4 linked regions of the Caenorhabditis elegans genome follow. The protein of the gene in region 3 purifies or fractionates together with the protein of the main gene of each other region. This does not show direct contact. Each region holds a gene or a part of one and is shown on either strand. Other genes may lie near its edges. The genes, in order: dlgr-1, epc-1, mbk-1 and ythc-2.

Evidence for each region.
Region 1: the proteins of mbk-1 (region 3) and dlgr-1 purify together in Caenorhabditis elegans (affinity purification with mass spectrometry, with the first as the bait; one large-scale study listed by BioGRID). This does not show direct contact.
Region 2: the proteins of mbk-1 (region 3) and epc-1 purify together in Caenorhabditis elegans (affinity purification with mass spectrometry, with the first as the bait; one large-scale study listed by BioGRID). This does not show direct contact.
Region 4: the proteins of mbk-1 (region 3) and ythc-2 purify together in Caenorhabditis elegans (affinity purification with mass spectrometry, with the first as the bait; one large-scale study listed by BioGRID). This does not show direct contact.

Annotation. Positions count from the first base shown.
Region 1 is NC_003281.10:5,437,595-5,442,230, forward strand, and holds the start of dlgr-1 (Protein kinase domain-containing protein), read right to left. Parts: upstream 3,041-4,636; 5' UTR 3,039-3,040; coding exon 2,926-3,038; intron 2,767-2,925; coding exon 2,663-2,766; intron 2,622-2,662; coding exon 2,518-2,621; intron 2,335-2,517; coding exon 2,274-2,334; intron 2,167-2,273; coding exon 2,060-2,166; intron 1,995-2,059; coding exon 1,825-1,994; intron 1,772-1,824; coding exon 1,694-1,771; intron 1,362-1,693; coding exon 1,251-1,361; intron 1-1,250. Other genes in the region: T24G10.2 (DM2 domain-containing protein), read right to left, coding at 3,555-3,710, 4,154-4,636.
Region 2 is NC_003281.10:12,605,456-12,610,333, forward strand, and holds the start of epc-1 (Enhancer of polycomb-like protein), read right to left. Parts: upstream 3,013-4,878; 5' UTR 2,904-3,012; coding exon 2,745-2,903; intron 1,769-2,744; coding exon 1,600-1,768; intron 723-1,599; coding exon 543-722; intron 484-542; coding exon 356-483; intron 1-355. Other genes in the region: Y111B2A.12 (WD_REPEATS_REGION domain-containing protein), read left to right, coding at 3,839-3,883, 3,958-4,028, 4,117-4,411.
Region 3 is NC_003284.9:14,819,392-14,826,118, forward strand, and holds mbk-1 (Dual specificity tyrosine-phosphorylation-regulated kinase mbk-1), read right to left. Parts: upstream 5,150-6,727; 5' UTR 5,144-5,149; coding exon 4,799-5,143; intron 3,632-4,798; coding exon 3,533-3,631; intron 3,482-3,532; coding exon 3,412-3,481; intron 3,343-3,411; coding exon 3,239-3,342; intron 3,192-3,238; coding exon 3,016-3,191; intron 2,962-3,015; coding exon 2,782-2,961; intron 2,735-2,781; coding exon 2,538-2,734; intron 2,477-2,537; coding exon 1,668-2,476; intron 1,588-1,667; coding exon 1,277-1,587; intron 1,083-1,276; coding exon 803-1,082; intron 712-802; coding exon 634-711; 3' UTR 518-633; downstream 1-517. UniProt on the Caenorhabditis elegans protein: Possible role in the function of olfactory neurons.
Region 4 is NC_003279.8:8,317,980-8,325,556, forward strand, and holds ythc-2 (putative ATP-dependent RNA helicase spindle-E), read right to left. Parts: upstream 6,009-7,577; 5' UTR 6,005-6,008; coding exon 5,940-6,004; intron 5,846-5,939; coding exon 5,378-5,845; intron 5,328-5,377; coding exon 5,055-5,327; intron 4,999-5,054; coding exon 4,489-4,998; intron 4,436-4,488; coding exon 4,060-4,435; intron 3,977-4,059; coding exon 3,680-3,976; intron 3,636-3,679; coding exon 3,510-3,635; intron 3,285-3,509; coding exon 2,648-3,284; intron 2,602-2,647; coding exon 2,205-2,601; intron 1,995-2,204; coding exon 1,759-1,994; intron 1,712-1,758; coding exon 1,602-1,711; intron 1,556-1,601; coding exon 1,451-1,555; intron 1,405-1,450; coding exon 793-1,404; intron 661-792; coding exon 595-660; 3' UTR 368-594; downstream 1-367. Other genes in the region: F52B5.2 (Protein kinase domain-containing protein), read right to left, coding at 140-271; Transcription factor cep-1, read left to right, coding at 6,322-6,361, 6,413-6,492, 6,545-6,618, 6,670-6,832, 6,958-7,050, 7,095-7,255, 7,481-7,577.

The sequences.
Region 1 (4,636 bases), on a different chromosome or scaffold from region 3:
TTGTGTGCGCGAGCCATGTTGTCGAGAAGAAGAAGAAAGCGATGAATAATTAGAGTGACACATGGTCCATGGGCTCTCGAGAAACAAAATGAAGAAGCAAAGAATAGAAGAAAAACCAACGAGGAAATCGGATATGGTATTGACTGCTGCTGATGTTGAGCTACTGCTGATGTGAGACACGAATTACCAACATAGGAAAAAACTCGATCAAATAGTTGTAAACCTTCTAATTCTCCCAGAGGCGTCGAATTTTCCGCCTTAATCCTCGAAGAAGAGGGCATAAAAACCAGTTTCCTCGCTAAAAAAGTCTTCTGGCTTCCAACAATTATCCCCATTCACACCTATTTGGAAGGACGCAAGCGATTCAAAAAGTATACAACAAAAAAATGGAAAAAGAAGAAATATAAAAAGGAAAGCTACTGCTATGGGTGCCAAGGGGAAGCAGTCAACCGGCGGGTAATATGTATGGCCCTCACACCCGCCTTCATTCTGCTGTTCGCTTCATCTTCTGGTGGTGAACGGATGGGTGTTCGCGCACTCACTGTGCTACACCAAACAATCTGTCATCCGTTGTCGGTTTGTCTGTCGATCGGACGTGCCCCACCACACCCAAATTCCCCCGTTCTCTCTTCCGATACTGCTTATCAAATTACACTTTTGTGATACTGATACCGATACTCAATAGTATACTCTTCTGGGCGTGCGGTAATTGAACGCCGCCAGCTGTCACCAGTGAGAAAACGCCGAAAAAATGTACAACAATTGGACGACAATTCATATAGTATTCTTCAGATAAGAGAAACTCAGAATGAAAGATAACCACGCCCTAAAAATGGACGTCGTCAAGAAGTCCCGCCTCATTTTCAGCTATTGAAAATGTGGTCGAGAAGCTAATTCTTTCCATTTTTTGGTCGTGGTCTACGAAACCACGCCTACTATTAAGTTTTCATTCGAAAATTTCGAGCGGAAAAAAAATTTGGAAAATCCGGAAAATGTGCCGAAAAAAGAAACGCCTTATTAGTGGGCGTGGCCTAAGAATGACACGCCCACTTTTCGCAGTTTTTCAAGAGGAGGAATAGAAAGAAACAAAAATTGGAAAATCTCGCCTACGTTTTCTAGAGATTATAGGAAAACATTAAAATTCCGAAATTGAAGGCCCACCCCTTTATTGGTTAGCTCCGCCGATTTGGAACAACTTAGGCGACAATTTTTTTCAGATTTTCAGATATCTTCAGAATTTCTCCACTGACCATTCAATTTCGGAGCTCGCCGATTGGCTTGACACTGTCGTCGGTGGCAAAGGACTCGAGAAACCGGGTGCAGGATTGCGTTGCTGTGGCTGTGAGAACATTCTTGAACGTCTGTAAATTGTTGTGTAAAAGTGAATAATTATTCTATTAGAAACACTATGAGATGAGAATATTGCACCATGAAAAGGCAACATCAGCACACAAAAGGACCCAATTATCGCTCGGCCAGCAGTTTAATTAACTTAAATTTTGTGTCGGGGTATGAACGACCTTTTTTTAATTTTGATTTCCTTTACAAATTAAAATCACGTTAATATTCATATTTTGAAAATATTAATTAAAGTTTTTTTTTTCATTTTGAAGATTAAAAGTAACTTTTTAATTATTCCGAAAAAATTACTTTTGGGATTTTCCTATGAAGAAAAATTCTAAAAAACTTATACCTTTCAACAAAACTTTCACCCATTGTTGATACAGGTGGATGAGGAGCTATTGGTGTGAGATCCGACTTGTTCGGTGATCTGAAAATGAAAAAAATCGAATTAAAAATGCTTTTCAAAAAAGAAAAACCAACTTTGTATAACCATTCAATGCACATGATATTCTCAAATAGCTCGGTGTTCTTGTAACTTCGGGAAAATCTGTCGATGCTCCGGCGGCTCCAGCGGATAAATCATTTTCCGACATAAAGGCTCGCGGCGATTTCTCGCCAAATCCAAATGGCTCGTTGAGTGGAATAGAGCTCTAAAAAAATGAAAAAAAAAGGAATATAAATGTGTGCTCCAATCGGTGGTGCAGCTGTTGCTCACGTGTGTATCGCGGGATGTTACGAAACGCAGATCGGTCTCCGATTGGGCTCCAGTGGCGGCGCATCCGATTCGGTTGGGTTTTGGTGGGAGAAGATTGGAGCCACCATCTGAAATGTTATGTGATTGCTGTTTTGAAATGCATGGAGGAGACACTACGGAATCGGGGAATGCAAATTCCCTGGACACTGGAAGCTTTTCCTACAGAAAAACTAACCCGAAAATCCATTGCTTGTCGTATTGAGACTGTCTGTCGAAGCACCACGTGACGATGATGACTGTAAAGAGGAGCAACTTGACATTTCGAAAGTAATAATTGAATTTTTTGTATAAATTAAAAGAAGAATTTGGAGTGAAAGATGTAGGTTTTGGTGTCGCGTGGGATAAATAATTTTCAAATTGTTTCAATTTGCTATGGCGATATGTACATAGTTAGGGGGTTTTTGTTGTTGTTTCGATACCCTAAATCTTCCTGTAGCACGGAGCGTCGAAAATCGATTGAGAAGCCGTCGAGCCGGCGACATCCGAGCTTCTTCCACTAAAAATCCAGCGGCCGCTTCTGAAACTTTTACCAAATTTTTCGAACGGGATTCAGTTCAGAATTACCTCGATGTGATGTTTCTGAGCTCCGACGGTTGCTGCTGCTTTTGATATTTCCATCGCTTTTTGAAGCCGGAACCACGACATTTGGTGGGGCATCTGACTGATTTCTGAAATAATTTGGAAGCTAAAATCAATTTTTCGTCGATAAGTCTCAAAAATTCAAATATTTTTCAGTCAAATAGAAAACACACTTTGTATGTTAAAAATGGTTTTTTTCTGACTGAACCTCTCATTTTTAGTACAACTTTAAGCAGTTTCTCACTTACTCTTTCTTCCTCTCCACATCGGATGCTCCGCGGCTTTTGCTCCGGCCGAGTCGACCTAAAAACGTGCCGATCACAGACTTTTTCGGTTTACTCCTAGCTTCTCGCTCCGGCATCGCTAAAAAAAGTGTGTTAGTATGGAAATTTTAAAAGAAAAAAATGAATCAAAAATAGTATAGATTCTCGCAAAGAAACAAGAAGAGAGCCGAAAAGAATTGGAGCAAAAAAGAGAGAGGAATTGGAGAATAAAAAATGTTTTATTACCATGTTTCTCTTCTCAAAACCCACCCAGAAAAACAATATGCGGTGGGCGATGGTGGAATGAAGGAGATATATGTATAATATATATTAAATATAATAGTAAAAAGTATGAGAAAGCAATAATGACAGAGAGCTCAGTGGAGGAAAAGTTCAAGGAAATGTACACATTTGAAGGGGAGAAAATTGAAAGAAGTTTGGGGAAAGGGGAAAATTCATTTTTGCATTTAAAATTTGAATTTGAAATTGGGCCCTGGAATTTCGGCAGTTTATTGCCGAAAAATGCGGAGAAAAAACGTGGAATGGGGGAGATTTTGTGTGTATAGCTGAGTGTAGGAGATAATTATAACAAAAATGAGGAAATTAACGATAAATTAATCGCTATCTTCATCATCTGAAGAGCTGCTACCGGCCTTTTTCTCATCTTCATCATCTTCCACCTCCTCCTTTTTTGGTTTTTTGGGCTCTGGCTCATCATCTGCAACTCCGTTGGCGTCCAGGTCGGCTTCACGCTTTTTTGCTTGTCTTTCCTGAAATTTTTGATTTTTTTAGAATTGAATATTTATAAAACATCTTTTAAAAATTATCAAAATTTGGAAAAATACCAATTTTCTCCTTTTTATGTGTAATTTTAAAATTAAAAAATCTAGAAAACGTTATTTTATCGAATTTTCCGTCATTTTCGGCATTTTTTTCCAATAAGTTTATACAATTTTATCAGGGAGATTCTGCTGTGTTTTTTCTGAATTTATTTTAACGAAAAGGAAATGTCTTCGAATTGTGATACTATCGTCTAAAAACCTCGAATTCTAATTTTTTTATAGTTTTTAAACAAAATTTAATCTTTTTTAGAAGATTATATCACATCTAATTTAGAAAAATCAGCTGCAATCAAAATTTTAAATTGGTTTTCCGTTGTTACTCTGAAGAAATTCAAATTTTCAGGCGATTTTTGCTCAAATATTGTCCTCACCTTCCACTCTTTTCTACGCTTATCCATTTCGGCTTCAGCCTCTTCTCTCATTTCCGGTGCCATATCACTGGTTCCAATGATGTGTCTTGTCAAGAATTTTACCATTCCGAATCCCTTCAGACGATTCTTCTTGAAGATCGACTCAAGTGTGCTATCACAGATAATGTATTGTCCGTTTTTTGGATCCTTCAGATTATTTTCCTTAATATAATCCCAGAGAGCCTTCACCACATCGCAACGCTTCATCCACTGATCTTTGGTGACTTGTTGAAGCTCTGTGCTGATATAACAGAGCTTTGTCATTGGTCCAAAGACTCCAGACATATCTGCATTTGGATCCTTCACCTTCTTCTTCTTATTATTCGCAAATCTACCTCCTTCCGAGGTATTTCTGATCTGTTTCAGAGCGTCCGAAGCAGCAGCTCTTCTTGTAGATTTGATGCTTGATGCCATATCTGGTGGAATCCTTGTAGTAGTTTTCTT
Region 2 (4,878 bases), on a different chromosome or scaffold from region 3:
CCGGTAACCAGCCAAAAACTATCAAAATTGGTCACTTATGGGGTTATTCAAGTAGTGTCGGAAAATTAAAAAGTGTAGAAAAATTATGATAGTTTTTGGTTGGTTACCTATTGGCTTTAAATGTACCTTAGTAATCAACGAAATTAAATGAGATAAACTAGCCAAATGTGCAATAAAGGATGATAATTCCAAAAAAAGTCGATTTCGGACAGATGTGACACGGACAAATGACCAAAATTCAAGTTTTTAGCTAAAATCAGTGTAAATTTTCCGAAATTTTGAACCGCCATAAAAAACTTTAAAAGTTTTAGAGAAGTTTCATCACGAAATTCGTTCAAAATAGTCAAATTCTTACCTTCCGACATTCTGTCCTGACTCTCGGAATTAATCCACCGACTCCAACACAACCAGACGTCGTCGCAGCCGATGTTCGCTTCGACAGCCAATATTCGTATATTTCGTACACGATTGATGAGTCCAGTGCTGCAATTAAACGATATTTTTGGGGGGGGGGGGTTTCAATGGAAATTTCGTCAACTTACATTTATGCAAATTAATCACCGAATCTTCGCTCGCGATCTGTGTCTCCGATGAATGGCTCTCCACTGTGTCGAATATCTTTTCCAAAACGCGCGGGTCAATGTGAGTGTGATCTGATAGCCATGCTTCATCTTCTGTGTCGTAGTCATACTCGGGTTCGTCTCGTTCGAGTGCTTGCCAGGCTGAAAATAAATCACATTTTCATAGAAAATTCCGGTTTTTCTCCTTTTTTCGCAAAAACTGTTCAGAAAAAAGGGAGGTAACTAAACAAATATATCGTCATCAAATTCTGATCCTTTTCAAATGATAACTGATAAGAAACGCAGAAAAATGTACTTTCTCACTTCAAAACAGAGAAGTGTAGTTAAAAAAAGAAAAAATTTGATCAGGGAACAATATTTCGCAATTTGTTTTCTTATTTTTCTGGGAGTATGGGGGTGAAAGTTCATTTTTGATGCATTAAAGATACCGAAATCTGGGAAATATTTTTGATTGACTCAAAATTTTCCTCTGATTCCGAATTTCAACGTGAAAAAAGTCGAAAAAATATACCTGATTTTATATTTAAGCTTGAAATCACGAATTTCCGCGCCCAAAAAAATCGCATTGGAGCGCGCTTGCATCGTTTGATTTGTTTCGTTTTTCAAAATTTATTTTCGCCGAATTCAATTTTTTAAACCAGTTTCATTCATTTTGGCAGAAAAAAACTCGACAAAAATGAATGAAACAAGCGAAAATAAATTTTAAAAAAGACGAAGAAAATCAAACGATGCAAGCGCGCTCCAAAAAGAACACACAAACACAAAGCTTGAATATAAAATCAGGGAATTTTTTTTTGAATTTGTCACATCGAAATTCGGAATCAGGCGAAAATTTGGAACCAATCAACAAACATTTTTGAAGGTTTTAGCCAGGAAGTCTGAAAAATCAAGTTATTTTCTTTCGAATTCAGAGAGGAATTTGAAAAAATAATAAATACAAGAAAACCCAAGCGGAAATTAATTTCAAAAAACCGGAAATTAAATTATTTTCGCCGAAATTTTGGTTAAAAAAACTCACCATGAACTTTGATATACTTTGAACGGTGCATTTTATTCTTGTTGTGATAAGTGGAGTGATAGCGTTGATCTTCGACTCGGTCGACTTTTGGAGTTGGAATGACATGGTTCAGCTGAATACCCGATGTACTGGCTTGCTGGGCAGCAATCGCTTCTTGCAGGTGTTTTTCCTGGAAATTTAAAATTTAAAATTTAAATAATCATTTAAAATCATTATTTCTGTTTAATTTTTTTTTCAAATTTGCATTATTATTCCTGGTGCTAGACTCCTGGAATTTTATTTAGAATCCAATAAATTTGCAAAAATTTTGAGAAAAAATACCCCACAGGGCATGTCTTGGAAGAAGAACAAACAAATGACGTCACCAGGGGTCAAGAGGGTGGGAAAAACTAGAAGATTGACGGAAAAAGGTGTAATAAGTCGGCATAATTGGGAAATTGTGTCAAAATTTGGACAGAAGAAGGTTGTTAGCACTCAGAGAACACTTTCTGTGATAGAAAAAGTCGTTTTTAACGGAATTTATTACTTTTTAAATGCTTTTTCTCGAGATTTCGCCTTCATCTCAGGCTTAGCAAAATGATTTTTTAAAGCCAAAAATTAAAATAGAATTAAAATATTAAAAAAAAACATTTTGCGGGTAGGACAAAACATTTTAAGTTAGTTAATTGAGCTGACTTTGAGAAAATAAAATCTAAATTGGAAATAAATTCAAAGTATGAAGTTTCCGTCGAAAAATAACGATTTTTTCATAATAAGAGTTATGTATAACTGCTTAAACTGATTTTTTTTATGATTTAAGAGTTGTAATAAAGGCCCACCGGCGGCTAAAAGAGAAAAGAGAAAAATCAAAAATCAAAAATCAAAACTTAAAATTAAATAGAATAGGATGAATTAAGAGAATTGTTAAGTTTAAAAGTGTAAAAAAGAAATAAAAAATGAAAATAACTATAAAAGCGATCCAGAAAGGCAAAGACAAAAATAGTGACGTCATCAGGGATCAAAAATTTGAAAATTCTTCAAAGTAGTCGGAAAACGGAATTAAAACATGATTCGGATAGAAAAAAGCACCAGGAATTCGAAAAAAGACATTAAAACTCGAAAAATTTCAAAATGGAGCAGTAATCCATAATCCACCAAAAACCAACCTGTTCTTCTTCTTTTTCCATGCCAGACGGCATTTGTGTCACCGCCCGGTTTCCAACACTGCATTCTGATAGGTCCGGAAGTTCGTGGCCCCAGTATACAGTCATAGACCGGTTCGAGTCGAGCGCCCGGGCTCGAAACGCCTTCGAAGTAGTGGCCATCTTTCTGTACTCCCACGTTGTAACTACGGTTAAGAAGAGCGGCGAGGACGCCGCACGTGTTGAATCGCCACGGACTTTGCGATGAATTCATCCGCCGATGACGGCGAGCATAAAAATCAAAAATGAAATGAGCTGAGCACTGTGTTTTAAGCAGTACTTTTTGAGTCTTTTTGTGTGTTTGGGGGGGGTTAGCAGTGGAATACAACAGAAGGCCCTACACTCAGGCCAACTATCGACTGGTTGAGCGCGGGGGGGGGGGGGTCTCCTTCTCTTCTCACAGACACTCACACTTTGCTCTCTTTCCCTCGCGCACACTCTCCTCTTACCACACTATCTTCCTCGTCGCCACTCTCTTCGTCTCTCGAAAATGTGTTGTCTCTCGTCGGAAAACACTCACTAGAGAGGCACACAGAGCGGCCACGTCGCACCACACACAATCGCACACACACACAAATAGACGACGCGACGCTGCCGCTCCGCATTACTCAATGCCGTTGAGTGCGGCGCGGTCGCGTTGCGTGAGTCTCGTGCTGATTTACGAGAGGTGTGGTCGAGAATGAACTTTAATTTTTGGAATTTTCAGCGATTTTTAGGGGATTTTCGTTGATTTTTTTAAAGTTTTATTAAAATATTCGTCCAAAAATAGCCTGAGAAGCTCTTTTTGTTCAAAAATTTCTTGTTCATTAGTGGATTTTTGTTACTTTTTCGAAAAGTAACTTGTAAAAATTATTTTCGAATTGTTTTGCAGTTTTTTCTCTTAGAAATTAATTTAAAAACGTTGCAATATGCTTGAAATGAATATCAGTGAAACTTTTTGTCGAAAATTCAGTTTCGCAACTTTGAAAATTAATTTCGTAACATTCCGTTCAGTTTTTTTTTTCTAGAAGTATCTGAAAATAATTTTATTCGTGAAAAAATCACACTTTTCAGGTAAAATGGACGAGGATAATCATCGCATCGAGGAGAGTGAAATTGACGAGGTAATTTTTTTTTTTTGAAAAAAATTCAATTTTTCAACAAAAATTGAAAAAAGAAAAATTAAAAATTTTTACAGATCATCGAAATCGACGATGATGCCGAGATGAAGTACGCTAGTGACGACGAGGATCAGCAAAGTACTTCGAAGTATGGTTTAGATCGAGAAAATAACGATTTTTCATTGAATTTTTACACAAAAATTCGGTTTTTGCCATTAAAATCGCCCATTTTCCAGCGCCGACGTTCCTGCAGAAATCATCGATGATTCTCTAATGTCTCTCCAGGCACACGCTCAAGACTGTTTCACAGTGGCTCTGGCTTCAAATCGTTGGCTCGCGACCGGTGGAGAAGACGATGTGGCTTTCCTTTTCGATCAAAACCAATCCGAATCCGAGCCAGTGCTTAAGGTGGAGCACAAGGATTCTGTCACTCAAGTGATGTTCAATCATAGCGAAACTTTGCTGGCTACCGGCGATTTGAGCGGGAAAATCATGATCTCTGAGATGGCGACGAAGAAAGTTCGCGCGGAGGTTGGTAGAACACCCACCGTTGTATTCCACTACGCTCTGTGGGGAAATTGCTTTAAAACACGCATATGGTACCACAATGACCGAATATCATGATTAAAAAAATTCCAAAATTTTTTCTAGATTTTATATGATTTTTTGAAAAATGGAAGAATCACAGTTTTCACCTAATTATTTTTTAATTTCCGCCAATTGGATTTGTTCGGTGGAGCGCGCTTGCACGTTTTTAAATTTATTTATTTTATTTTTTGTTATTTTTTATCGATTTTTAATGTTTTCGGTGTATTTTTGCTTGAATTTTAAAGAAAAAGTCAAAATAAATGCAAATATTCGATTAAAAAGCACGCTGACAGGCGTAAATCAGAGAAATTAATTAATTCATGTTTGAAATCGTTTAAAAGCGTTACTTTTTCATTTTTACGCCTGTAAGCGTGTTTTTTAATCGAAAATTTGCAATTATTTTGACTTTT
Region 3 (6,727 bases):
CTAAAAAAAAAAAAGAAACATGGATGGAAAGGGTGTGTTATATGAAATTGGACGAAAAATGAAGAGAATACAGAGAAACGAATGGAACTTGAGAAGAACAAAAACAGGTTTTCCTGTGGAGATGACGGGGGGGGGGGGGATTGGCTAAAGGCGTCGAAGATTTATAATATCTTCCTGGTCGCGTTGCGAAATGGATGGATGGACATTGGTGGCAAACGGGCGGTGGGGGAAATGGCAGAAATTGCAAGAAAATTCTGAACGAAAAACTTCTAGTATGTAGTACTTTTTTGCAGTCGGTGACGAATGCCCCGCTGCTGCTTGGGTTGAGGATAGCTCATTGGCAAATAGAGAAGTTACGAAATATCTGAACAGGTTTTTTTTTCTGTTGACACGTCATTCATGCTTGTTTTAAATGTTTCCAATATTTTTAATTAAAACTTCCAAAAAAAAAACCCTCTTAAATTGATAAATTGAGAACTTATAATTGAAAATACAACAGTAGTAATAAAAAAATGCTAAAGTTGAACCAGTGTTTATTAACTCCATATTGTTCACAGAAACAAAAAAAAATAACAAGCATTACATCAAATTGACAGAATTTCCAAAAAAATTAGCTATTAGACTCTGTGTGCTTCAGAGTTTGTTGTTCGGGTAATCGAGTTTCTCCATCTCTCGGTTGTTAGCATTTACATTTCCATGCGTCATCGATACCTAAAATATTTATTTTCAATAATTGGCATTTTCTGAATGATGGGTGGGGGGTGCAGCAGCGCATTTTTTTTATTGCAAAAAAAAATCTCACCTGTTGTGGATTGAATTGATTTCTAGAAATCTGATTCGATACAGAGTCATCAACTTTTCGCTGCTTCTGCTGAAACGTGTCATCCAGCTCAAACTGATTCCTCCACTCGTTCTGATCCTGTTGTCGTGGCCGCGCCCGTGATTGGAGGTGCTGTTGGGAACTGCTCTGCGCTTGTGGCATGTGCTGGCGTTGTTGTTGCTGTTGCTGCTGTTGCTGCATTTGCTGTTGCTGGAGCTGCTGTTGGAGTTGAGCCTGTTTCTGCTGCTGCTCCAGTTGCGTTCTAGAAATTTCTACATATATAATTTTTCTCTCTTTAGTTTTAAAATTTCTTGTCTATTTCGAACACCACAAAATTTTTGGTAGTCTCCTGATGACGCAATTATTTTCTCTGAGTTTGTGTCATAGGAGCAGCTGTCCAAAAAGTCCAAAATCTCATAAGGTTCACACGAGACCAAACTTTGTACTTGTACTTACCGCTGTGTCTGCTGATACTGCTGCTGCTGTTGCTGTTGTGGTTGAGAGTACTGATAGTTTGGATTGTGGTAATTTTGCTGATGAGCAGAGAAGCGTCTTCTCCCAGCATCAACTTCCATGGCATCTCCTTCGTCAAACGATGATGTGACGGAAATTGGGTTGGCAGAAGATCCAGGCGCCTGGCGATACATCCCGTTATCTTCCACATAGACTGATCCAACCGACGGAGATTCCATCACTTGACTCATTTGGCTTGACGGCTGCTGTATGTACAATTGCTGTTGTTGCTGAAGGTTCGAGTGAGACACCGGCTAAAAAATTAAATATTGAAAGAAAATTTAAAAAATTTAAATTTTAATAAAAATTAAAAATTAAATTAAAAAAAACACACCGGTTGAGATGGAACTCGCTCTTCCTTCTGCTTCAAGAACGGATGCCGAACCACATAATAGGGCGAAATTCTTTGTTTGGGGTCAAATTGCAACATTCTCTTTATTAAGTCTTTGAATTTGCTGTAATCTTCAACAGAATGTCCTGGCTCTCCAAGCCGGCGACCTCCGGGCCCGCCAGAAGTCACACCCAGAATTTCGTGAAGTTTCCTGGCTCCAGGAGCTTTGTAGGTATGGCGGTATCCGTCACGAGTCTTCTTACAATAGTAGATCCCATCCTCAGTTTTGTCAAAATACTTGTGTGTTTTCGGGCCAATGTCTAACATCTCTTTTGGTGGCATACCAAGAACTTCCACAATTTTCATCATTTGGTCAACCTCCGATGACCCGGCAAACAGCGGCTCTCCGGTGTGCATTTCGACGAGAATGCATCCCAGGGACCACATATCAATTTTCGTGTCGTACGCGATGCCGAGCAGCACTTCCGGCGAACGATAGAATCTCGACTGAATGTACTGGTAGATTCGGTGTCCAGTCTGACAAGAAGATCCAAAATCTATCACACGAATTTGAGACCGCTTCGCGTTAACTAGTAGCACATTTTCCGGCTTCAAATCACAATGGATAATCGATAATTCTGGAGATGACAGGAAGAGAAGAGTTTTTCCTAATTGCTGGGCAAATTTGCGTGCCAAATTCAACGAAACGCCACGGAAACTGGTGTTCTTCAAAAGATCATAGAGGTTGTAGGAGAGAAGCTCGAATACCAAGCAAAGATGAGCCCGATGCACAAAGTGCCCTTTGAGCGTAACTGAAAATTTGAAAAGTTGATTCTATCAACATTGAATATGTTAATATGTCATGCAACTTACCAATATTATACTTATTATCCTTGTCATGTGCATTTGTCAATTCTAAAAGATGAATCTCAATCTGAGCTTGATCGAAGAAAGTCTTCTTATTCTTGATAATTTTAATAGCGACTTCTTCTTTATTCAGCGTGTCGTAAGCTTTTGTAACTTGCCCGAAAGATCCTTTGCCAACCGGCGTGTCACTGAGAATCACGTATCTGAAAAATAGGCTGTTAGTCAAATAAGTTTCGTGCTTTCAGCATACCTCTTGTCAAATATCTCTCCATTTTTAAGAATATAGTCGTAATTCTGATCGTCATACCCGTTATTGTACGGACCGCCACGACTACTTTTCTGTCGCTGCTGCTGTTGAAGATCAGTCTCTGTGCGCATAGGAACAACCATTGTTGAGGTGGGCGGAGCATTAGTGTCAAGTAGAGGAGGACTGAAAGTCAAAAAAAAAAGTGAACTCTTCAAATATCACACGAAAACAACATACGCATTTTGATGAGCATCTTGCTGATAATGATTATCAGAACTCGTAATTGGAATCGCATTGTGAATGGAGAATGTGTCAGTCAGGCTCGCCCCGGAACCATCCTTGGATCCCTTTGGCTTTCCGGCATCTTGACTCTTGTGACGATCACGTCGAACCTGTTTCCGTAGGTAGAAAGACTGAAACTTTTATAGCGGTATTAAGACTCTCTTCCATCTTCGCCTACCTCATTGATAGCCTTGTAAGTTTTGATGAGATCACTGGTTAGTTTTCTGACTGGCGCGTCTTGAGGATTTCGGAATTGTTGAATTTGGAGTGGCTTTGAGGTAGCTGGAATGTGTACAATTTATTTTTATTTTTTATTCTTATAATATTTTCACAAAAGCTAGCCAAACTTACATTCAAACGGGATACCAATCATTCCAATTCCAGCCGGAACAGTATCTGTCGAGAACTGGCCAATATTTCTCTGAAACTTTTGAGACATATGTGTCAAGAAGTTGAATCATCTAGGCTGTACCTTCTTTGCGGCTTGTTTTTCCGGAGGCATTCCGGGAGTTAGTGCCGCTTCTGCATTAGTCATGGATACGCGATGCTTCTTTGGCCGGACTTGGGTGACCTGAAACTTGTAAGATTGCAACATTAGAAGGTACTCTAGGATCAGTCTGAAAAAGCGCTTGCAGAATTTGGAGCGGGGGCAAAAACTATCAAAGGACAAAGTGATCATTTCGGAGACTGAAAAAGTTGTTGAGGTTGGGCATGGCCACGAATGTGCAGAGCGGTAGTATAACAACAGGAGAGACAAAACGTCCGCACCGCAATGCAAACGCAAATGCTGATTTCTTGTTGAGTGTGTAGAAAAGAAAAGAGATAGGGGGAGAGGAAATGATGGGAGAGAAGAGGGAAAAGAACGGAATAGTGTAAAGCTCGACTTTCGCCCTTCAGTGATTACTGCCCTGTTGCATAAGAACACCCGATGAAGGAAATTATGTGAAAACCTAGAATTGATTGCTGCAACTATGTGAAGCACGTCGGTAACTGATAAGAAATTTGAACAGATTAAACTAGTTTTTTTTTTGTTTTTTGAACTAATAAGCAATTAGTTAAATACTAAAATACTAAAAAAATTAATAGCAGAACACCTAAAATCTTGATAAATTACTACCATTCAAATTGAGAAAAAAAATCAAAAATTTTGGTAATGTTCAATTAGTAGGCTTCAGTTAACAGGTTAATTTTAAATGTAAAAGTAGTTGATTTTGAAACTTTAAAATAAACAATTCTACTACTCATGGGATTTGTTGCCAAACAAATTTAAATCTTAACGTTGATGATACTATTAAAACTGTAAAATAACATTGAAAGCTTGCAAATACAAAAGTTCATATTTTGATACAAAAATGATACGAAAAATCTTCAGAATCCAATTTTTTTTCCATTTTTTTCCAGGAAAACGGCAATTTTCTATTAATCACAAAAAATCAGTCAATCGTTATTTTTTTTCAAAATCAGATTCTTTTGAATCACGGTTTTATCAACGTAACAATGGCAACGGCTCATAAAGCTTTATTTTTCAAAAATAGATTTTAGATTTAGAAATTAAAATGAAATATTTTCCAAATATCATCATATTTTATAATTAGTTTATTTTTGCAAATTTGAAATTTATCTGTTATTTTTCAAAATGAAAATTATTTACAGCAATGTGGGGGTGAGCAGCGTTTAAATATTCCATTTTAGAATGATGTGATTTTTTCAAACACAAAAAAAAAAACGTTCTACAAACCTCTTGCTGTGGATAGAAAGCGTGTGAATTCGTCTTAATTGAAGTGATTGGTGGCTGTGGGAATCTCAGAATGTTGGAATGTGGTTGACGGCTTTGTGCAATGAAACGTTGTGCATTTTGCTGTTGAATGTGTTGCTGCTCTTGCTGTTTTTGCTGCTTCTGAAGTTCGTCAGCTTGCACGTCTTGAAGTTGAAAGTCCTCGTTCATCGGTTCGGTGTCGCAAAGATTATTGTGATTGATAGGCGGAAGATTAGTCATTTGTGAGTGTTGCTGGGTATTTGAGTAACTTGATGATGGTTGTTGGCCCCATGATTGAAGATTGTCAGGCACGTCTGCTGTGTTCATGTTTTCCTGAAATTTTTTGAAAATTTGTTAAAATCTTCAAACTAATTATGACAATTTTCAAGAGAACGAGCAGAATAGAGTAAATCAAAAAAAAAAACATAAAAATTTAATATTCAAAAGAGAATATAACAAGAAAAAGATTAAAATTCACGGAAAATTGCAATATTTGAAATATTTGAAAAAAAAATTAAATTTTACAAGAAAAAAACAAGTAGTTCCACTACAATTATTTATGAAACGATAAAAATTCATTGGAGAGGCAAAGAGAAACACGGAGGAGAGATCACATGTGAATGAGAGGGCTCGAAAGAGTGTGGTGAGCGGAGAGAGTCGAGGACACGCAACGCGACACGCAGCGCTCTCAACAACTGATGAGAGAGTGGGGAACATGGGTTAACGGGGACGAACGGAGTGGGGACGAACGGTGGAACGATACAAAGACACAAAAAGTTCTGCAGCTGGAAATGGTTCGAGCAGGTGCGCCATCTGCCACAAAGAGTTACATTTTACAGAAAAAAAAGTTCCAGGTGGATTATGTATTTAAAAAGGGGTGTATTGAAAAAGTATAACACGTGATATTTGATAATAAGACCACAACTTAAGGATTGTGGTTTGAAAAAAAAACTATTTTATAAAAATGAAAACTTAACATGAGAAATCAAGAAGATTTGCGTTTCGAACCCCGTAAATTGAACTTTTTGTTGAGATTTCAATGCACTTCGAGATAATTGAGGGTTTTGCTGTAATTTTGAAAATTTATTCTGAAACCTTTAACAAATCTTGAATTAACATTTCACATGGTAACACGCATATAGTTTGAGAAGTGGAAATCATTAAAAAAAGTAATGTTCGAATTCTACCTCTGGGAAAGAACTTATTTATATGGGAAAACTTGAATAAAACTTACGCTTTACGCACGTGATGCCAGGCTGTCCCACTACGGTTTGTTCTACAAAAAATGCGGGAATTTTTTGCTCAAAAAAATGTGACGTCAGCACGTTCTTAACCATGCGAAATCAGTTGAGAAGTCTGCGTCTCAACTCCCGAATTTTTTGTAGATCTACGTAGATCGAACCGAAATGAGACACTCTGGCACCACGTGTTTACGGTGTATAAGCATCAGTTTATTGTCGTTTTTTCTGGCCCGATCTCGGGATATTTTTTTCCAAATAATAAAATTACAGGTGGCCAAGCAACATAGTATTTTGAAAACATTTTAAAAAAATCTTTGAGTTTGTCTATAAAATATTCTAACTCTAAAAATTAGCTGCGTTTTAAAATATGTATCCTCAAAAACTAAGTAAACTTATATTAAAGTACAAAATTGTATAAACACGTCTAACACAATACAAAACACTTGCAGAAAATAAAATGTTTTATTTTGAGTCTTCTATGAAACCATTTCAAACATATAAAACATGAGAAATAAACCTTTCCAAACTCAAAAAAAAACTATAAAATATCATAGGAGATTCGATTGAAGTTCCTCAAGAAAAATCTACTGACAGCTGCCGTTGGTGGACTCCTGCCATACTGAAAGTGCATTTGTAAATTTAAAGTTCATAAGAAATCCGTGCTCTTGAT
Region 4 (7,577 bases), on a different chromosome or scaffold from region 3:
TTGTTCATTTTTTCTTTAATAATCGTCTCCCAAAAGACACCAAATTTAGTTTTCGAACACGTGCGAAGGTTACAAATTTTGAAATTGCCGCACTAATTTTTTGTAGTGAAAAAATAAATAAAATTATATATTTATTTACCTCCTTCTTCTCTTCATTGCCCGATTCTGCCAAAAATACCATCGCTTCCCCCGAATCATTTAATTGTCTTCTCAAAGTGCATCCTCCTAAGATTACACCAGGTTCGTACATAGACTTTTTTTCATTGTCCATCTAAATATACAAAAAAATATTAGAAAGAGGTTGTCAATTATTTAAAATAGAAAATCAGAAGTAAACTGGGAAAATTATACAAAGTGAATTATGAATCAACAATGAGAATTCTTTATTACGAATAAAAAAGGGATATAATTTAGAAAACATGGAAATCAACGAATACAAAGAAAAAAGATAAAGAGAAGATTCATAAAGCAGGAATACTCTAGAATGATCAGCTAAATTATCCATTTTGGAGTACAAATTGAAAATGAAACAAAAATGGCAAGTTTATAACGATTTCAGAAAAAAAAACAAACCGGAAAACATTTAACTACCGGTTACTCGTTGCGAGGATTGTGCTCATACAATTTGCGCGATAGGCCACGTCCACGAAATTGATTACCCTAAATTGGAACAATGAAAGATAAACTTGTATATTATTTAGACATAATTTTTTTTTTCAAATTAGGAACCGAAATCTACAGTGTGAACACTTTTCCCTTTAAACCAAAAAAAAAGCCCTGCCTCTTACTCACACTTGTATAGGAAAATCCTCCTCTGCTAACACCTCTTGTGTTGAAATTTCCCCCTTGATATGGGATGTGACCATGAATTCCAGACGACTCCATATATTGATGATTACCATTGTGACCATGTTCTCCATAACTTGTATTCATCGAATGAAAATCAAATTGCGGAGTCCACGATTGGTACTGATTCTGTGGCAGTTGGATGTTATAATGTGGATAACTATAATTATGGCTATAATGATGATTGTTACTACTTGACGATTGATGCGATGTGCTCATATTTTGATTGTAATGACTATTTCGCATTAAATCCGGAGGTGGAAAATTGTGAGACGGAAAGTTGGATGTTGTCTTCGTTTGATGATTTTTTGGTGGTTTAGACTGTTTTCTTGAATTTCCATGTGAGACAGCCTCTTTAGGTTTTCTTGATTCTCGTTCTGTTGACTTTTGATTGGGATCCGAGTGATTTCTACGATTATTATCATTCCTCACAATGCTCGCATACGGATTCTCGGAGTTTGAGTAGAATTTCAGATTTAAATGGGGCATGACCACAGGTGCAAAGTTGTAGCGTTTATTTTCAGATTCCAATACGTAACGAATCAATTCCAACATTTCCTGAAAGATCGAATAATAAATTATGTTAATTTATCGCCAAACTCACTAAATCTGCAAGCGAAGTTTGTTTTCCGAATGTATCAGGATCAGATATTCCTTTCACGAAAAAGTGCATAAATTTGTGACGAAGACGTAGAAAATGGCAAAGATTCTGAAAGTTTTATAGATTTCTAATACTAACATAACATTATAAATACCTTCTTTACAGATCTCACATTGTACCACTCGTCAAGCTTCAAAAGGGAAAGACTTGCACCCCATGGCAATGGTTTATCTTCAACGGAAATATCTTCACCTTCTTCGAAGACTGAAAATAATTATTATAATTAAATATTATTCCAGATATCTACTTACTGATATTATTATCCTCAATCGTTCTCTCGTCAAGCCTTATTGGACCAGTGAACAACAAGGCAGTCATCGATGGAATGACAGTGACAGTTTTCATGGAAAGTGATCTATCGGATGGCATCTGACACATTTCTTGAAAAGCGACATATTCGACACGAGGACTTTTCTCACTTTTCCCCATTTTAACGATTTGCTTCTTTACCATCGACGACGGGTGCAAAAATGCTGGCTTGTCGTTGCTGAAAAATCTTGTCGTTGCAAAAAAATTGTTATTAAATTAATGGTCTACCGTGTAGAGTTACTGAAAACCTTTGATTAATTAAAGGTTGAGTACCGAAAAGTTTCAAATTTGAGAACTCCACTTTTAAAGTGATTGCTAAATTTTTTAATAATCGTCAAAGAAATCGTTTTTTTTTACAAAAGTCTGAAAAACCTTCAAAAACACTCACAAAGTCTGCACTTTTTTCAAGTTTGATTCGGACGCAGAAACACCAATAAATGGATAGCATCCAGCCGCAATAACTGCCTGTATCATTGGCCAACATTGAGAAAACTGATTGAAATGGTGATCAGTTAAAACAGTTAACACGTCCCTATTAGGAGATATATTAATTAATTTGGCTCGTACGAGTTCTCGAAGCAATTGCCGTCGCGTTCCTTGAACCATCCTCATAGTGGAAAAGTTGAGAAAATGATCACGACAAAACTGATTCTGTTGACTGTTGTTTTTAGAGCAGAATTCATTGCATAGTCGAATGTACAGCAAATGATCCGATAAATCCTGTTGTGCCATTTCGAATTTCATTTTGGATTGCAGATCACGATCTTCGGACAGTGCTAGGACATCTGAAAAAAAGAAGAATTCACAAAAGTTTATTTTCCGTTAACTTACAAGGTTCTCTGGACGCAAGTAGTGCTACCAAATTGACAATTGGAGTGAGACATTTGAGTGCTAAACCAAACAAAAGCATCCGTGATAACTGTGGATCAAGTGGAAGTCTTGCCATTAATCTTCCTAAATCTGTCAGTTCTGGATCTTCGGGATTTTCGCTGTTCTCGGCTTCCTCATCATTTTTCAAGCCTTCTTCATTCCCAGAATTGTCGTAAATTTTGATTGGAGTATAAAATGCTCCAATTTGTTCCAGAAAAGTGATCGCCTGCAGAATAGACTCTTTCTCTGGAGGTTCTGGCGCCAATGACAAGAACTCGGAAATCTTTAATGTTTTCGGAGCGAACAATTTCGCATGTAATGTGACGTCGTAAATCGCCGCTCTTTTCATTTCAGCAATTTGTGTTTCGGGCATAGAATTGTATTCTTGCTCTGTATAAAGACGAATACAATATCCATTGGCCACACGGCCAGCTCTGCCAGATCTCTGATCTGCGTTGCTCCGAGCAATTGGTTTCACTGTAAGTGTGCTGAGCTTCGCTTCATGATCAAATGATTTTTCTTTAACTTTTCCAGTGTCCACAACGAAAATTACGTCTTCGATGGTGATTGAGGCTTCAGCAATGTTCGTGGCGAGAATCTGGAATGGGGAAGATATTTAGAAAGTGGGAAATAATTTAGTTTATGTTCATTAGAAGTCTGGGTGCTGCGTCTGAGATCGGCAGTCGAACAAGTATGCTTCTTTCAGTATGACAAGCCAACGTTTTCATTCAAAAATTAATAATAAAGATTTTAGTAGAACATTATTTTTGATTCAAAGTTGGCATGTCAAACTGAAATAAAAACTCCCTGTTAGGAGTCTTACAATTTTCCTTGTGTCCTTTGGAACAGACTTGAAAATGTCGCCATGATTTATACTGGTCATTTGAGAGTGTAATGGCAAGACGATCACATTCTTCATATTTTTTAGACTGTTCTTCCAACAATCGATCTAAAAATATAATTTTTTGAATAAGAAGCTCAATATAAACCAACCGCTTTCAACATCTGCTGAATATCCTCGTATCCTGGGAGAAAAACTAGAATCGTTCCAAAAACTGGGCTGTCAGCAAGGTATTGAATGACTTGATCAAGTAACACATAGTCGACTGAATTGTTAGAAGAGGAACCATAGAACAAATTATATTTCTCTCCGAAACGAAGTTTCGAAAAATCCGTTTTATCGACGACGTCATTCATTTGAGGATGATAATAAACTGTTCGATCCGGAAGTGCTGTTTTTAATTCTTCTTTGAACTTTTTCTCAAGAAGAGTAGAAATACGTTGTTTTTCCTGAAAAAAAAGTATTGGATATAAGATCAAAATTTCTTTAAATGTTTGAAATCAAAATAGTTTCATATTTTTGCATTCCTCACCCCAAAACCTCCAAATGGCGTAAATTTCGCCAAACCACTAGAAATGCCGAGAGTAGGAGTTGGAGATGGTGGTGACTTGGTGGTTGAAGCTGGATTCTCACATGTAAATGTGAGTGGACCACGTGGCATCAAACATCTTTCTCTCTTCTGTTGGAGTAACGCTTGTGCTGATTGATTGGGATTCGTCGTATATTTCACATCATTGATGAATACCGAGTTAGGTGTGGTTGGACGAAATTCAACAGTAATCACAGGACGAATATCTGGATTCCCTATTATATTCATGTACTGACGCATTGCTCTCTCGTCAATGATATCACCATCTGGTGTACTGCAGGGCCCAGAAGTCCACTCGCGTTCTTCAATCGGCGAATTTCTAAAATTTGGAAATTTGAGAAGAGTCAGTCGCTACATGAATAAGAAACCTACCTTTTTGTATTCGCAGCCATCTTTGTTACTGGTTTAGACAAAGTGGAAAGTGAACTATCAGCAGCTCTCTGCTTGGCTTTATCCTTCTCTTCCCTTTCAACAGCTTCAATTTCATCTTTCCAATCCTCTTCTTCATATTCGGCAGTAGAGAAGAAGGCTTTCGATTCAGGTGGTTGATAGCCAGTCATTGCAAGAATTTGATCCAAATAGAAAACTTTCACATCAAATGCTCGAGATTCAATACGAATCACATCCATTGAATGATTTTCAAAATAATTCGAGAACAATTGCATATTTCCTTCGATCGTTGCTGACATCAGAATGACTTTGAGATCTGGACGCATTTTTAGACATTCACGTAGTGCAATTAGAAGATAATCTGTGTTGATTTCACGTTCGTGGATCTCGTCCATCACAATGTGCGTTATTCCAGAGGCAACTGGGTCAGATGTGAGCATTCTTAGAAGAACACCAGTGGTACAATATGTCAGAACAGTATCGTCGCTTCGTCTGCAAAGAAAAATGAAGTTGAAACAAAGTGATATCGAGAGAAAAGTGTGAATTACCTGCTATCAAGTCTAACTTGATATCCAACAGTGCGTCCAATGGGCTCTCCACGTTCCCTCGCAACTCGTTCAGCAATTGAAATTGCAGCAATACGACGAGGTTGTGTGACCATCACACGAACATGTTTATTATTTTCGTGCGCTTCATCGAGAATGAATTGTGGTACTTGTGTAGTTTTTCCACATCCAGTTCCTCCACTGATGATAACCACATTGCACGAGCTAATAGATTTCAGCACTTGGTCACAATATTTGGAAGCTGGCAGTGAATTTCTGAAATTTTTAATGTTATAGGAGTAACTATTTATACAGTTTTCACAAACCTGACTTTTTGTAACTCTTTTGAGCATTTTGACTTTGGTGGGATCACCATTCTATCACTAATATGCCCCTTCGTGGTGTGCATTTGTTTTGTCTGTGTCTCTGTCAAAAACTCGTCCATTTCTTCTCTGGTGATCGGATGCTTTTCGACAAACTTCGACAGCTTCTGAAGACACTCGAAGGATGGAGTGATTGGCTCAGTTGCAACAAGAGTTGACTTGGATAGTCTGTTCACTCTCTTCGACAGAATCATGTACCGATCTGGCTCTCTTCCATGAGATTTGGTTGTCATTTCATTGAGTAGCGCGACCTCGTGCATCACCTTTCTCTGATCTCTTCCCATAGGTTCAAGTGTCGTGTTCTTTTGTCCACTTTTCAGAAACGAACGAATGATTTCATTCGCCACCCGTCGATACTCTTTGCGAGTGTCATTATCTGTACCTCGTGGCAAGACCCGCGATGCATCAAACCTGAAAATTGTTTACAGTCATTTGATGATTGAAATATAAGATTTTTCAAAAATATTTGTTTTTTTAATATTAATTTTTTTCAAACAGAACTCACCCGTTTCTAGAACAACGTTTGCTATCAACTCCACCCCGAAAGAATCCAGGTGGTTCGTCTGACATTATGCTGCAATTTTATGAGAATATTCAGACGCAACAACAACGTGACAAACGACGAGATAAAAATCTATCAAGGCTGAAACAATGACAAAAAAGAAATCCCGACAAATGAAAATGGCGCCTAAAACAAACTTTTTTAAAGGACGTCGGGTTTCATTCACAGATGGGTCTCGGAACGAAATCATGGAGTACGGTATCACACACTTGAATTTGAAAGTGAACTTCTTTATTTGTTTCTCTTGCAAGTTTAAACTTAAGTTTTTAATTTTTTCTGCTTGTTTCTCAATAAAATAAAAATATTACTTGATTTGTAGCGCAGAATGGAACCCGATGATTCACAACTCAGTGATATTTTGAAAGGTGAAAAGCTAGAAATCTTGAAATATAGATTTCAATTAAATTTGCTTTCAGATGCAAGAATACCCGATTCGCAGGACATCGGCGTAAATTTGACACAAAATCTAAGCTTCGACACTGTCCAGAAAATGATAGTGAGTTTCCGAAAAAAAAAAATCCTAATTTTCAAATAAATAATTTTATCAGGACGGAGTATTCACTCCAATATTCAGTCAAGGGACTGAAGATTCACTGGAAAAAGATATATTAAAGACGCCTGGGTTCGTTTAAAAAAGAAAAATATGATTTATATTTGAAAATTAATTATTCAGAATTTCAACTATCTATAACGGAATACTGGGCAATGGCGAGGAAACCAAGAAAAGAACGCCAAAGATTTCCGATGCTTTCGAACCGGATTTGAATACTTCTGGAGATGTATTCGACAGTGATAAATCAGAAGATGGTTTAATGAATGATGAATCATATCTATCGGTTAGTAAATGAAATAGGAAGTGAAGAATGCAATGAAAAGGCATAAAAAACTAATTGAAGACAGTTGAACTCTTCTACTTTTGCAAATTATCAAAATACAATCATTAAATAATCCAAAGCTTCAGAATACAACGTTGTCGCAAGTTGTGCTCGACTCCCAAAAGTATGAATATCTTCGAGTACGTACAGAGGAAGAACAGCAACTTGTAATTGAGAAGGTGAGTATTATTGAAATTATATCTATAGAGAATCTAATTTCCAGCGTGCCAGAGAACGATTTATTCGAAAATCGATGAAAATCGCGGAAGAAACAGCATTATCCTATGAAAATGACGGATCGAGAGAGCTTTCTGAAACTATGACACAGAAGGTTACACAAATGGATTTTACGGAAACAAATGTGCCTTTTGATGGAAATGATGAGTGAGGAGTTTTGTATTTTTCGGATTTAGTGGAAATTTTCAATTAAAACAAATATATATTTAAAGGTGGACTGTTGCTTTGAAATCAAGACTGCCGCTGAAAGTTTAATATATATTTTTTGAGCAAAACCGAAAAAAATCCAACTTTTATTTTCTGGATTTGTTTTTTGGGTTTGGAGTATTTTTAAGAAAAACTCTCATTCACCCTATTTCACGGTATTTTCAGATCATCGAATTTGGCTGTAAGAGTTCAATCAGATATGAATTTGAATGAAGATTGTGAAAAATGGATGGAAATTGACGTTCTTAAACAGAAAGTGGCA